2 linked regions of the Schizosaccharomyces pombe genome follow. Changing the gene in region 1 together with any one later gene gives a genetic interaction. Each region holds a gene or a part of one and is shown in the gene's direction. Other genes may lie near its edges. The genes, in order: yta12 and lon1.

The links.
Region 2: mutations in yta12 (region 1) and lon1 impair growth when combined (synthetic growth defect), as found in Schizosaccharomyces pombe (one study listed by BioGRID).

Annotation. Positions count from the first base shown.
Region 1 is NC_003423.3:4,313,859-4,319,575, forward strand, and holds yta12 (m-AAA protease Yta12), read left to right. Parts: upstream 1-1,949; 5' UTR 1,950-2,429; coding exon 2,430-4,751; 3' UTR 4,752-5,011; downstream 5,012-5,717. Other genes in the region: fit1 (CoA pyrophosphatase (FIT) family lipid storage protein), read left to right, coding at 630-1,382; GET complex subunit Get1, read left to right, coding at 5,089-5,175, 5,224-5,590, 5,684-5,717. UniProt on the Schizosaccharomyces pombe protein: Catalytic component of the m-AAA protease, a protease that plays a key role in proteostasis of inner mitochondrial membrane proteins.
Region 2 is NC_003424.3:691,753-697,710, forward strand, and holds lon1 (Lon protease), read left to right. Parts: upstream 1-1,985; 5' UTR 1,986-2,078; coding exon 2,079-5,282; 3' UTR 5,283-5,378; downstream 5,379-5,958. Other genes in the region: atp20 (F0-ATPase subunit G), read left to right, coding at 1-51, 101-232; mitochondrial aspartyl/glutamyl-tRNA amidotransferase subunit B-related Aim41, read left to right, coding at 815-973, 1,097-1,309; GTP-binding protein involved in beta-tubulin folding Alp41, read left to right, coding at 5,539-5,603, 5,649-5,703, 5,744-5,816, 5,869-5,958.

The DNA of each region.
Region 1 (5,717 bases):
AATAGTGTCATATGTTAGCACTGTAAGTTGATAAATTCTGTTTGAAAATTCTTATGCTAAATTTCTTTACATTGGAGAATGCATAATCTGATTAATGGCAAAATATTATGAGTCTAACTGTCTTCCAGTTCGCTTGTTGTATGAAATAAATAGGAAAGTCATAATAATATATACTTTTTATTAATTGCTAACGGTTTTTCTAATTTTCTTTATACAAATACCTCCTTTATAGTAATTTTATGGGTTTAACATTTTTAACAGAAATAATTTTGGCTTGATTATGCATACTCAAATCGTAGCGAGAAATGATAGATTTACGCCTTGCTAGCTTTTTAACAAAAATAGGCAAAATAGGCGTTATATGGCAACTTAAAAAACGAAAGAATTCGTATATTTAATTATCCACAATTAAGGACTATTTCTTTTCGTTCTCTTATAACGTGAGGCAATGATTCGTTTTTTTTCTAGTCTACGCACGTAAGTTGGTGGTGTAACTACACCAAACTTCCCAGGGTATACATGTCCTTAACTCTTTCAATGAATTAATTGCTTTTCACTACACCGTTCTATCTTTATTTTTAAGTTTAATTTGTATACGTTGTCTGCCTAATAAAAATTATTTAAAAAAAATGACTGAAAAAACTGCTAGTCATTATTGGAATGAAGAAACCTCTATATTGAAGCTTCGTCGCAAAGATATACTTCTGTTTGAAATATATGCCACTACACTTCTTCTAGGTAGCATTTATAGCATTTATGTTGACAAATGGTCGATTACCTCTTACTTTGGAAACTCGAAAAATTTGATTAATTTGATTTTTGTAAAAAGAGGCTGGTTCTGGACTTCTTTAGTATATTTTTATCATGCTTGGGATCAAAAGAGAAACAAAATTGACTTCAAGTTTATTTCAAGGTATATAGTGGCCACTCTATGGTGGATGTTTGTAACCCAATGGTTTATAGGACCTGGCCTGATTGATAGAACCTTTGCATTATCTGGCGGAAGTTGCAAAAACTTTGATGGTGATTCATCTGTGTTCATTCCACTTACCGCCTCCACTTGCAAGGGATTAAACGGATCTTGGTCTGGTGGTCATGATCTCTCGGGCCATGTTTTCTTGTTAACTCACTCGAGCTTGTTTATGTTGTCTGAAAACTTTTCATTTATTTTGAATAATGGAATAAAAGCTACATCTACTAAAGTACTTTTTGGTCTTCTTGGACTTTGGTGGTGGATGTTATTTGTTACTGCATCCTTTTACCATACTACTTTTGAAAAATGTACCGGGTTTTTCTCTGGTATTTTAGAATGGTCTATTGTTTACGTGTTCTCTTCAAGAATGCCAGCGGTCGCTGATCTTTTAGGATCCTCCGATTACTAGCCTTTACCACCATTTGTCCTTAAACTATGCTTCTAAATGATTGTTTTATATAGTGCAACACTTGTGACATAGCATATCCTTCCTTCTCTAAACTTATTTGTTTATGACCCTTTTATCTCTCTGTCGATTATTACGATAGTGCCATCATGATAAAAAAAATCTTTTCATTATTTACCAAAACTAAGTATATTTTAGAGAGTATTTTACTTGGGAAAAATACTCGTCAATTGTTTTGAGTGAAAATGCGTTCTTCCATATATATTTGATAGCCGTAAAGTTTCTTCTTTATCAAGCTTGCATATTATAGTGACTATTATTTATTCCTTTTTTTTTTTTGATACAAATATGCATAAATGTTTTTTATTATGGTATCTAAGTTAGTAATGTAAATCAACTCGCTAATATTATCCATTCAGCAAATTATAATGTATTTTAATTTGTCAACAATATACTTGTAATACGTTTAGTAAATCTATAGTAATTAATAGAGACAATGCTAAGAAGTTGGTTGATTTCATTACGGTCGGTGCCCATAATAAATGACTAATGCTTCGGAAGGTTGTCACTACCCACAACACACAAGTCCAAGGCATCTATATTATCCTTCCTTTAGGCTATTTTTTGTTGACAGGATTAGTAACGGGTTTATTGAGCTGAAAAAAAAGTGACAACTGTGTTCTTATTCCTTTTAATTACCATTTTTGCTGACGTGAAACATTGGAATTTCTTCAATTTCATAACGCTTTTTGGAGGTTGCCCAAATCCATGTCCGGAGGTAATAATAAATTTTTATTTTAATACAACCTTATAACTTTTCGTCTCTATTCGTTTTGGTCTCAATTACTGAATTGAACGATTAATTACTGCTTTCTTGAATTTTTTAATTCTAGAATCCACCTTTACTCGTCATATACGAAGGATATTTTTCTTAAAACAATCATTTACGTTTATCTCTTTCGATATTGAGGGTTTTATATATTATACTTGCCCTTACACGCTCAATTCAAGTTATTGTACCCTGCGACTTATTTCCATATAATATTCCTTATGCGAAATCCCTTTTTGACGTTTAGGGCACCTACTAGGAAAACAGGAGATTACCTGGTTTCTAAATTCGTAAAGAAGGATAATTTTTCTTCTTTGCGTTTGGCAAGGGCTTATACTTTTTCTACACGTTCCACAGCTGTTTCACAATTTTCTCTTCTCTCACTTTCTCAGAGATCTTTTCAGTCCCTTAAAATAAATAAAGGAATACCGGAAAAACATAAAATCCCTCTCATTTCATCTAAACAATTTAGCGTAACCTCAAAAAGATCGCAAAATGGGTCTTCAGGATCCAATTCTGATGCTAATGGTAGGAAAAATGGCCAGAAAAATGATGATTCAAAAAAGAAGGGATTGAATGGCAATGATCCGAAAAAAGTTTTTGAAATAGCCTTAAATGGCAACACTATTTTAGGTGGAATTTTAGTTGCCTATATCCTTTACAATGTTCTCTCGCCTAATGCAAATATGCAAGAAATTACTTGGCAAGATTTTCGACAACAGTTTTTAGACAAGGGTTTAGTTGAACGGCTAGTTGTTGTTAACCGCAATATGGTTAGAGTTATTTTGAGAGGCGGTGTAGCTTCAGGTTCAGGGCAGTACTATTTTTCAATTGGTTCCATCGACTCTTTCGATCGAAAACTAGAGGATGCACAACGTCAACTGGGTATTCCACCTTCTGAATTTGTCCCTGTCGCTTATCATGACGAAGTCTCTGTTCTTGCTACTTTATTGTCTTTTGCTCCCACCTTACTGATCATTGGAAGTGTCATTTATTTATCGCGACGGGCTTCGGGTGCCGCAGGAGGTGGTCAAGGTGGCATTTTTGGAATTGGTAAGAGCCGAGCGAAGATGTTTAATCATGAAACTGATATCAAAATAAAATTTGCTGATGTCGCTGGCGTTGACGAGGCTAAAGAAGAGATTATGGAATTCGTCAAATTTTTAAAAAATCCCAAGTTTTATGAAAGGTTGGGGGCTAAAATTCCTCGTGGTGCCATTCTTTCTGGTCCTCCTGGTACCGGTAAAACTCTTCTTGCTAAAGCCACCGCTGGTGAAGCTAACGTCCCTTTTTTAAGTGTGTCAGGTTCTGAGTTTCTTGAAATGTTTGTTGGTGTTGGACCTTCCCGCGTAAGAGATCTTTTTGCTACTGCTCGCAAGAACGCTCCTTGTATTATTTTCATAGATGAAATTGATGCAATTGGTAAAGCAAGAGGACGTGGAGGACAATTTGGTTCCAATGATGAACGCGAAAGCACTCTTAATCAGCTATTAGTTGAAATGGACGGTTTTACGTCTAGCGAACATATCGTCGTATTCGCTGGTACTAATCGACCAGACGTATTGGACCCGGCACTTCTACGTCCTGGTCGATTCGATCGTCAAATTACGATTGATCGTCCTGATATTGGCGGTCGTGAACAAATATTTAAGGTCCACCTTAAGCATATTAAGGCAGCCGATAACATCGACTTAATTGCCAAGCGTCTTGCCGTCCTAACTTCTGGTTTTACAGGAGCTGATATAATGAATGTATGTAATGAAGGAGCGTTAATTGCAGCACGATCAAATAGTAATGAAGTCCAAATGGTACATTTTGAGCAAGCTATTGAAAGAGTCACGGCAGGTTTGGAAAAGAAGAGTAGGGTACTAAGTCCTGAAGAAAAAAACACCGTTGCTCATCATGAAGCTGGACATGCGGTAGCTGGTTGGTTTATGGAGTACGTCGATCCACTATTGAAGGTCTCAATCATTCCTAGAGCTCAAGCCCTTGGCTATGCTAGTTATTTACCCAAAGATCAGTATCTGATGAGTCGAGGGCAGATTTTAGATCAAATGGGAATGGCTTTGGCTGGGCGTGTTTCTGAAGAAATATTTTTTGGACCAGAAAAGATTACTTCGGGAGCTTCCGATGATTTTCAAAAAGTAACGCGCATGGCTCAAGCGTATGTGACCCAATATGGTATGTCTCCGACTGTTGGTACTATAGCTTATCCCATCGACACTCGGGAAACTGTTCAAAAACCATTTTCTGAGGCTACAGCTCAAATGATTGATGAAGAAATTCGAAAGCTTGTAAAGCATGCATACGAAAGAACTAAGAAACTTTTGCTAGAACATAAGCAAGGCTTAGAAAATATTGCTCAACGTCTATTACAGAAAGAAGTCATCACTTATAACGAAGTTGAGACGATTCTTGGACCAAGGCCATATGCATACAAACATTTAAATATTTCTGAACTTATGCGTCAGTCTGAGTATAAAAATGATCACGATCCTCGAAATCCACCAATCCCCCCATCTCCTCAACAACCTTCTGCCTAATTTGTCAATTTACTGAATTTAAATAAAGCGTTATGAATGAAAATAGTTACTTTCATGGATCTCATGATCAAAGTATTTGTCAATTGAATATCATATAGCTATTTTATCTATTTTTTCTATTTAATATTACAGAAGCTAGATAAATATACTTAACATCAATTCTTCTGAACTTTAAAAGGTTAATAGATTATTATTTTCTAACACAAAATAGCTAATATCGTAACAAACAAACTTGTGTTTAGTTTCGACCTTTAGACCAGCATGTCATAGGGAGCGTGATACTCAACAGTTACACGTTTGACACTAACCACTGTACTTTCTTACAAGTCCATATTTTATGATGGATCTGATTATTTCAACAATTTTATTAAGCTTATTTATTCATTTCTTCGATAAATTTGCAAAAAAAAGGACTATTGATGGGGTAATTTAACATATATACTTGTTGTAAAGAAAACTAATAATGTGAAAGGCTTATCGAATTTACGTTAGTGTTTCTAATAATAAAGATTTAAAGAAGAACAAAGAAATTTTAGAGCAGCTGCTTACTGTTAAGAAAGAGCTAAACGCTACTAGCAGTCAAGATCAGTTTGCTAAATGGGCCCGTCTGAATAGAAAGTATGAACAACTCAGTCAAGAGTGGGAAAAACAATCAGCCAATGTTAAAATTTTCCAAGATACTTTCAAGCGGGTTTTAAGCCTTTTTCTTTGGATTTTAACCCGTGGATTCCGGTTTTATATTCAATTCAAAGAGTCCAAAACACCTGTCTTTTTCCTCCCTGCATTCTTGCTTCCTTCTTGGGCTCTATGGGTGCTATCTCTTCCACGATCAATCTACGGTATGTTGTTTTTAATGAAAATTCTGAAAATCTTTTTTTTATTTTTATTTTCATTTATCACAATGGCAGCTGAAATACTAACATGGCATGTAGGATCGGTTAGCTTAACAGTTTGGAATTTTGCGGT
Region 2 (5,958 bases), on another chromosome or scaffold:
GTTCAACAAGTATATCATTCTCAAAAAATTGCACCCCCTTCCAATACTCATGTAAGCAACTATTTGCTACAAAGAACAGATCCACTAATTTCTCTTTTAGTCTCCCTTCCTTTTTTGGAAAAGTCAATCCTCTGAAGCATGGGGCCGCAATTTTTTCATCGCAGTTGAAATAGTTGGTATTTTCTGCGCTGGCCAGATGGTTGGTCGTAGAAAAATTACTCCATATCATTAAAAAGATGAATTTAATCTTTCATAAAAGCTTCTGATTGCTGGATACTTATGCATTTCAACTACTGCGAATTCATTTTGTCTCCAACATACACCAGGCTGTTCAATAAATGAGACTATTAATAACTATCTTTTGTTAACATATTAAGATGAGGTCTTTATAAAGCATTTCTGTTAATAGGGAAACTAAATTATAGGTCTTAGGTAGCAGGACCTAATTGTAGGCGTAAGTGTTATTACCCGGCACTGTATTGCTTGTTTTTCAATTTTGATTTTGAATAACCATTAATTTAATTGTAAAATCTACCGAAAGCAAATGTCTCATTTTCGCAATCAATCTTAAAATCAGTTTGTACTAATAAATAAATATTGCTAAATTGATGGAGTTACCTCACTGTCAATGAGCGATTTCGCATATTTTAGTTTCCACATCTCCAAACAAAATGGGATAATCCTACTACCAAATACTTTCTGCGCTACACCACCTTTAGGGGAATTTTTGGGTCTGACCTGAAAACATAATCCAAGAAAAAGAATTCAATGTTTAATCAACGCTTAGTACACACATCAAGGATAGCTATTCGTAATGTACAATACTTACGCTATAATAGTACATGTAAGCAAACTTAGGAATAGTCATTTATTTGCTAACGCTTCAGCAATCCCAAATCTTCAAGCAGTTATTCGTAAAAAATTGCTGGATTCCATGAAATCTAGGCAAAAAGATGTTGCGTCTACTTTAAAAGTACGTTGGAAATAAAACGTGACGGTCTACATGTTAAATTGCATCAGTGTTCAAGCAATGTGAAGAGGCTGTCAGAACTATGTTATCTATGTTTGTAGATGAATATGACGCTAACAAGCTTAGGTATTTCTCTCGGAAATCGAATATGCAAACAAGTCGAGTAAGCCAGTTACTACAGACTTAGACGTTCTGCGAGTACTTAAAAAAAACATAAAAAAGCGTAAACAAGCTATTGAACAGTTTCGCAAGGCTGAGCGTCTTGATCTAGCGGAAAAAGAAGAATCTCAGATTCAAACTTTACGACAATTCCTACCTGAACATGCTAGTAATATTTAAAAATCTGTAAAAAGAATACAATCTAGTCATTTAATAAGTCTCTATCCTTCAATGCTTTATCAGCTTACCCTCGAATTTAAAAATATCTTGACTTAAATAACTCAACGTTCTTAATGTGTGCAAGCCACGCTACTAAAGACAGTTTCTTTTGGTTTTTTAATAACAATGTTATACTACGCAGCAATATGACACGATTGATTCTGCAACGTATCATTACATATCCTGTAAATGCTATGCGCTCTTTCAATGTTTTGAATTGAACAGCTAAGACTTATGTAATGAGAAGCTTTCTGAGTTTTTTTACACTGATTCAATTTATGCATGTGAGTTTCCATTCATACAATTAAATTAAACAATCGTCGCTGTTTTCAGCTCTTAACAGCATTATCTTATTATTAGTAATGAAATTTTGGTTAAAATTTGATAAGCGATCGGTATCTTAATTATTTAAAATAAAAGTTAATGCGGTAAAGTAAGTGAAACTATTGCAACGCTTCGATATCTCATCTGTTGAACTATTTGAAGCCGAAAAAATTGGAAACTTTAATTTTTTTCCTTTATAATGAGTATTGTATTAAATGCTTGAATGGTTTATTTAATAGCATTGGAGGTTGGAGGCAAGTAAGCCAATTCCCTCTTTGCGCTCATTATGTGACGGCGACTTACCAGCTAACTCAGCAATTACCAACTACCTTTAAATACGCCAGAAAATTAATAATAGCCCGAAACGTTCTTTGTGCCAGTTTGTAATTTAAATTCGTACAGGCCCATGATTACACGTTTATCGGGCGCTTGCTTGAGGCGATCAGGTGCTAAAAGAAATTGGCCTCGTGAACATTTGGTTCATCGGTCTTTGCTTGCTAGTTTTTCCACTACACAGAGGGTTTTAAAATGCTCAGTCGGACCTTTTCGTACTTCAAATGTTGTTTTCAAAAGTAAAGAACCAAAAGATAACAAACCACTGGATAACAAAAACGATCCCAAAAAGACACATAATGAAGATGAGTCACATACCAACGAATCTTTGCCATCTACGGATAAAAAGAAAAAAAAGGATAATGACGATTTTAAGCAAAATTTGAAATCTTCTTCAAATAAGACTGAGGAAAAGTATTCTGCTACACAAGCTTCTAAGTCTAAAAATGACGAATTTGAATTAGGTGGTGAAGAAAATGAGGATGAAATGCCTTTAAATGGGGAATTTAATAAAAATGTTCCGGCCAAATATTCGGTTCCTGATGTGTATCCTCAATTACTTGCGTTACCCATTGCGCGACGACCTCTTTTCCCTGGTTTTTATAAAGCCATAGTTACCAAAAATCCCTCTGTTTCAGAGGCCATTAAAGAACTGATTAAAAAGAGACAACCTTATATCGGCGCGTTTTTGTTGAAGGATGAAAACACTGATACCGATGTTATAACGAACATTGATCAGGTTTACCCGGTCGGTGTTTTCGCTCAAATCACCAGTATTTTTCCAGCAAAAAGTGGTAGTGAACCTGCATTGACTGCTGTTTTATACCCTCACCGTAGGATACGAATAACTGAACTGATACCTCCAAAAGAGGATGCTGATAGCGCTGCTTCTTCAGACGCAGCAGAACTTGAAACCGATAAAAGCTCTAATCTTTCTTCCAATGGAGAAGTTAAGTCTGATCTCAAACAAGACAATGGGAAAGAGGAACCTGAAAAGGAAGTTGAAAGCACACCCTCAATTCTTCAAAACTTTAAAGTCTCTCTTGTTAATGTCGAAAACGTTCCTAATGAACCTTTTAAACGACAGGATCCTGTAATTAAGGCGGTAACGTCTGAGATTATGAATGTTTTCAAAGATATTGCAAACGTTAGTCCCCTCTTTCGTGAACAAATTGCCAATTTTTCAATATCGCAAACGTCTGGCAATGTTTTTGATGAACCTGCTAAATTGGCAGATTTTGCTGCCGCTGTTTCGGCTGCAGATCATCGCGAATTACAGGAGGTTTTAGAAGCTACAAATATAGGAGATCGTTTGCAAAAGGCTTTGTATGTACTAAAAAAGGAACTATTGAATGCCCAACTTCAGCATAAAATTAACAAGGAAATTGAGCAGAAGATAACTCAACGCCATAAAGAATATCTTTTAACCGAACAGCTAAAGCAAATTAAAAGAGAACTTGGACAAGAACTTGATAGCAAAGAAGCATTAGTAACTGAGTTCAAGAAACGAACTGAAAGCTTGAGTATGCCTGATCACGTGAAAAAGGTTTTCAATGATGAACTGTCCAAATTTCAGCATTTAGAACCAATGGCTGCTGAATTTAACATTACTCGTAATTATTTGGACTGGATAACCCAACTTCCTTGGGGAAAGAGGTCTGTTGAAAATTTCGATTTAGATCATGCAAAGGAAGTCCTTGATCGAGATCATTATGGGCTTAAAGATGTTAAGGATCGTGTTCTTGAGTTAGTAGCTGTAGGTAAGCTAAGAGGAACTATGCAAGGAAAGATTATGTGTTTAGTTGGTCCGCCAGGTGTCGGTAAGACTTCTGTTGGAAAATCTATTGCATCTGCCTTAAACAGGGAATTCTTTCGCTTCAGTGTGGGCGGTCTGACTGATGTCGCTGAAATCAAAGGACATCGTCGTACCTATATCGGAGCAATGCCTGGAAAAATTGTGCAAGCTTTGAAAAAGGTGCAAACTGAGAACCCTTTGATTCTTATTGATGAAATAGACAAAGTGGGCAAAAGTCATCAAGGGGATCCTGCGAGTGCACTTTTAGAGCTTTTAGATTCAGAACAGAACTCAGCTTTCCTAGATTACTATATGGATATTCCACTCGATGTTTCATCTGTTTTATTTGTCTGCACGGCGAACACCATTGATACTATTCCTCCACCTTTGTTGGATCGTATGGAGGTTATTGAACTATCTGGATATGTTTCAGCTGAAAAAGTTAACATTGCTAAAGGTTATCTTATACCCCAAGCCAAAGCTGCTTGTGGTTTAAAGGATGCTAATGTGAATATCAGTGATGACGCTATTAAGGGTTTAATTAGTTACTATGCTCATGAAAGCGGTGTACGAAATTTGAAAAAATCTATTGAGAAAATATTTCGTAAAACATCTTTTAGTATTGTTAAAGAAATTGACGATGAATTAAATTCTAAAGAGAAGTCTACGGGTAAGTCGGGAAAGAAAACATCTCCTCAATCATCAGAAGATGCAGCAAACAAAGAAGCATCATCTGTTCCGTTAAAAGTTCCCGATAAAGTTAATATCGAGATTGAAGAAAAGGACTTGACTAAATATTTGGGTCCCCCCATTTATACTTCTCAGCGACTTTATGACACTACTCCTCCTGGTGTTGTCATGGGACTTGGTTGGACACCCATGGGAGGTGTTTCGATGTATGTAGAAACTATTGTTAAAAACATTTTATCATCCAATTCTACTCCCTCTTTGGAAAGGACGGGGCAACTGGGAGATGTGATGAAAGAGTCATCTGAAATTTCGTATTCCTTTTCAAAAAGCTTTTTGTCTAAGCATTTTCCAAATAATAAATTTTTTGAACATGCGCGTTTGCATATGCATTGTCCCGAAGGCTCCATTTCTAAGGATGGCCCATCAGCAGGTATCACAATGGCTACATCTTTACTTTCTTTAGCATTGGATACTCCGGTACCAGCGACTACTGCCATGACTGGTGAGCTAACCTTGACCGGTAAAATTTTACGCATTGGTGGCTTACGAGAAAAGACGGTTGCTGCCAAATTATCTGGTATGAAAGAAATACTATTTCCAAAAAGTAACTTAGCCGATTGGGAACAACTTCCTGATTATGTTAAAGAAGGTTTAACTGGTGTCCCTGTTGCATGGTATGATGATGTTTTTAAACGGGTTTTTTCAAACATTGATGCCGAAAAATGCAACAATCTTTGGCCAAATTTAATAAAGTCATCCTCCAAGCAGCATCAAATTTCACCCAGTCATTAACATTCTCCTATTAGAAGGATACTACCTTTATGAAGAAATTATCTAAATTCATTATGTAATAGATATAGTTAATAACGATTTATGTATTGTGCTATATTTAAAAGACAACATGTAGTTTGAATTTATTCTGTTCAATCGTTCGTAAAACAGTAATATCTTTCTATAAAGTTGATAGCTTAAGCCCTTGTTGAGTAACGCAATGCAAGGCAAATTCATCGCATATTTTCTTATTTCTTGGTTACTCTACTATTGAGAAATGGGATTATTGACTATTTTGAGACAGCAAAAGCTAAAGGAACGAGAAGTCAGGGTTTTGTTACTGTAAGATGATTCAAATATATACAGAGTGAAATCTAATGACTTTAGGGGGTTGGATAATGCAGGTAAAACGACAATTTTGAAGTGCCTGTTGAACGAGGATGTAAGTATCTTTTAAGGCTCCATAATTTATCGATTGATAGGTAAATGAAGTTTCGCCTACCTTTGGCTTTCAAATTCGAACGCTTGAAGTAGAAGGACTCCGATTCACGATATGTACGTAGCTTGCAATTTTCGAAATGAACAGTCTTAAGCTTACTAATTCAAGGGGACATTGGGGGGCAGAAAACGCTAAGAAATTTTTGGAAAAATTACTTTGAATCAACCGAAGCAATTATTTGGGTTGTTGACAGCTTGG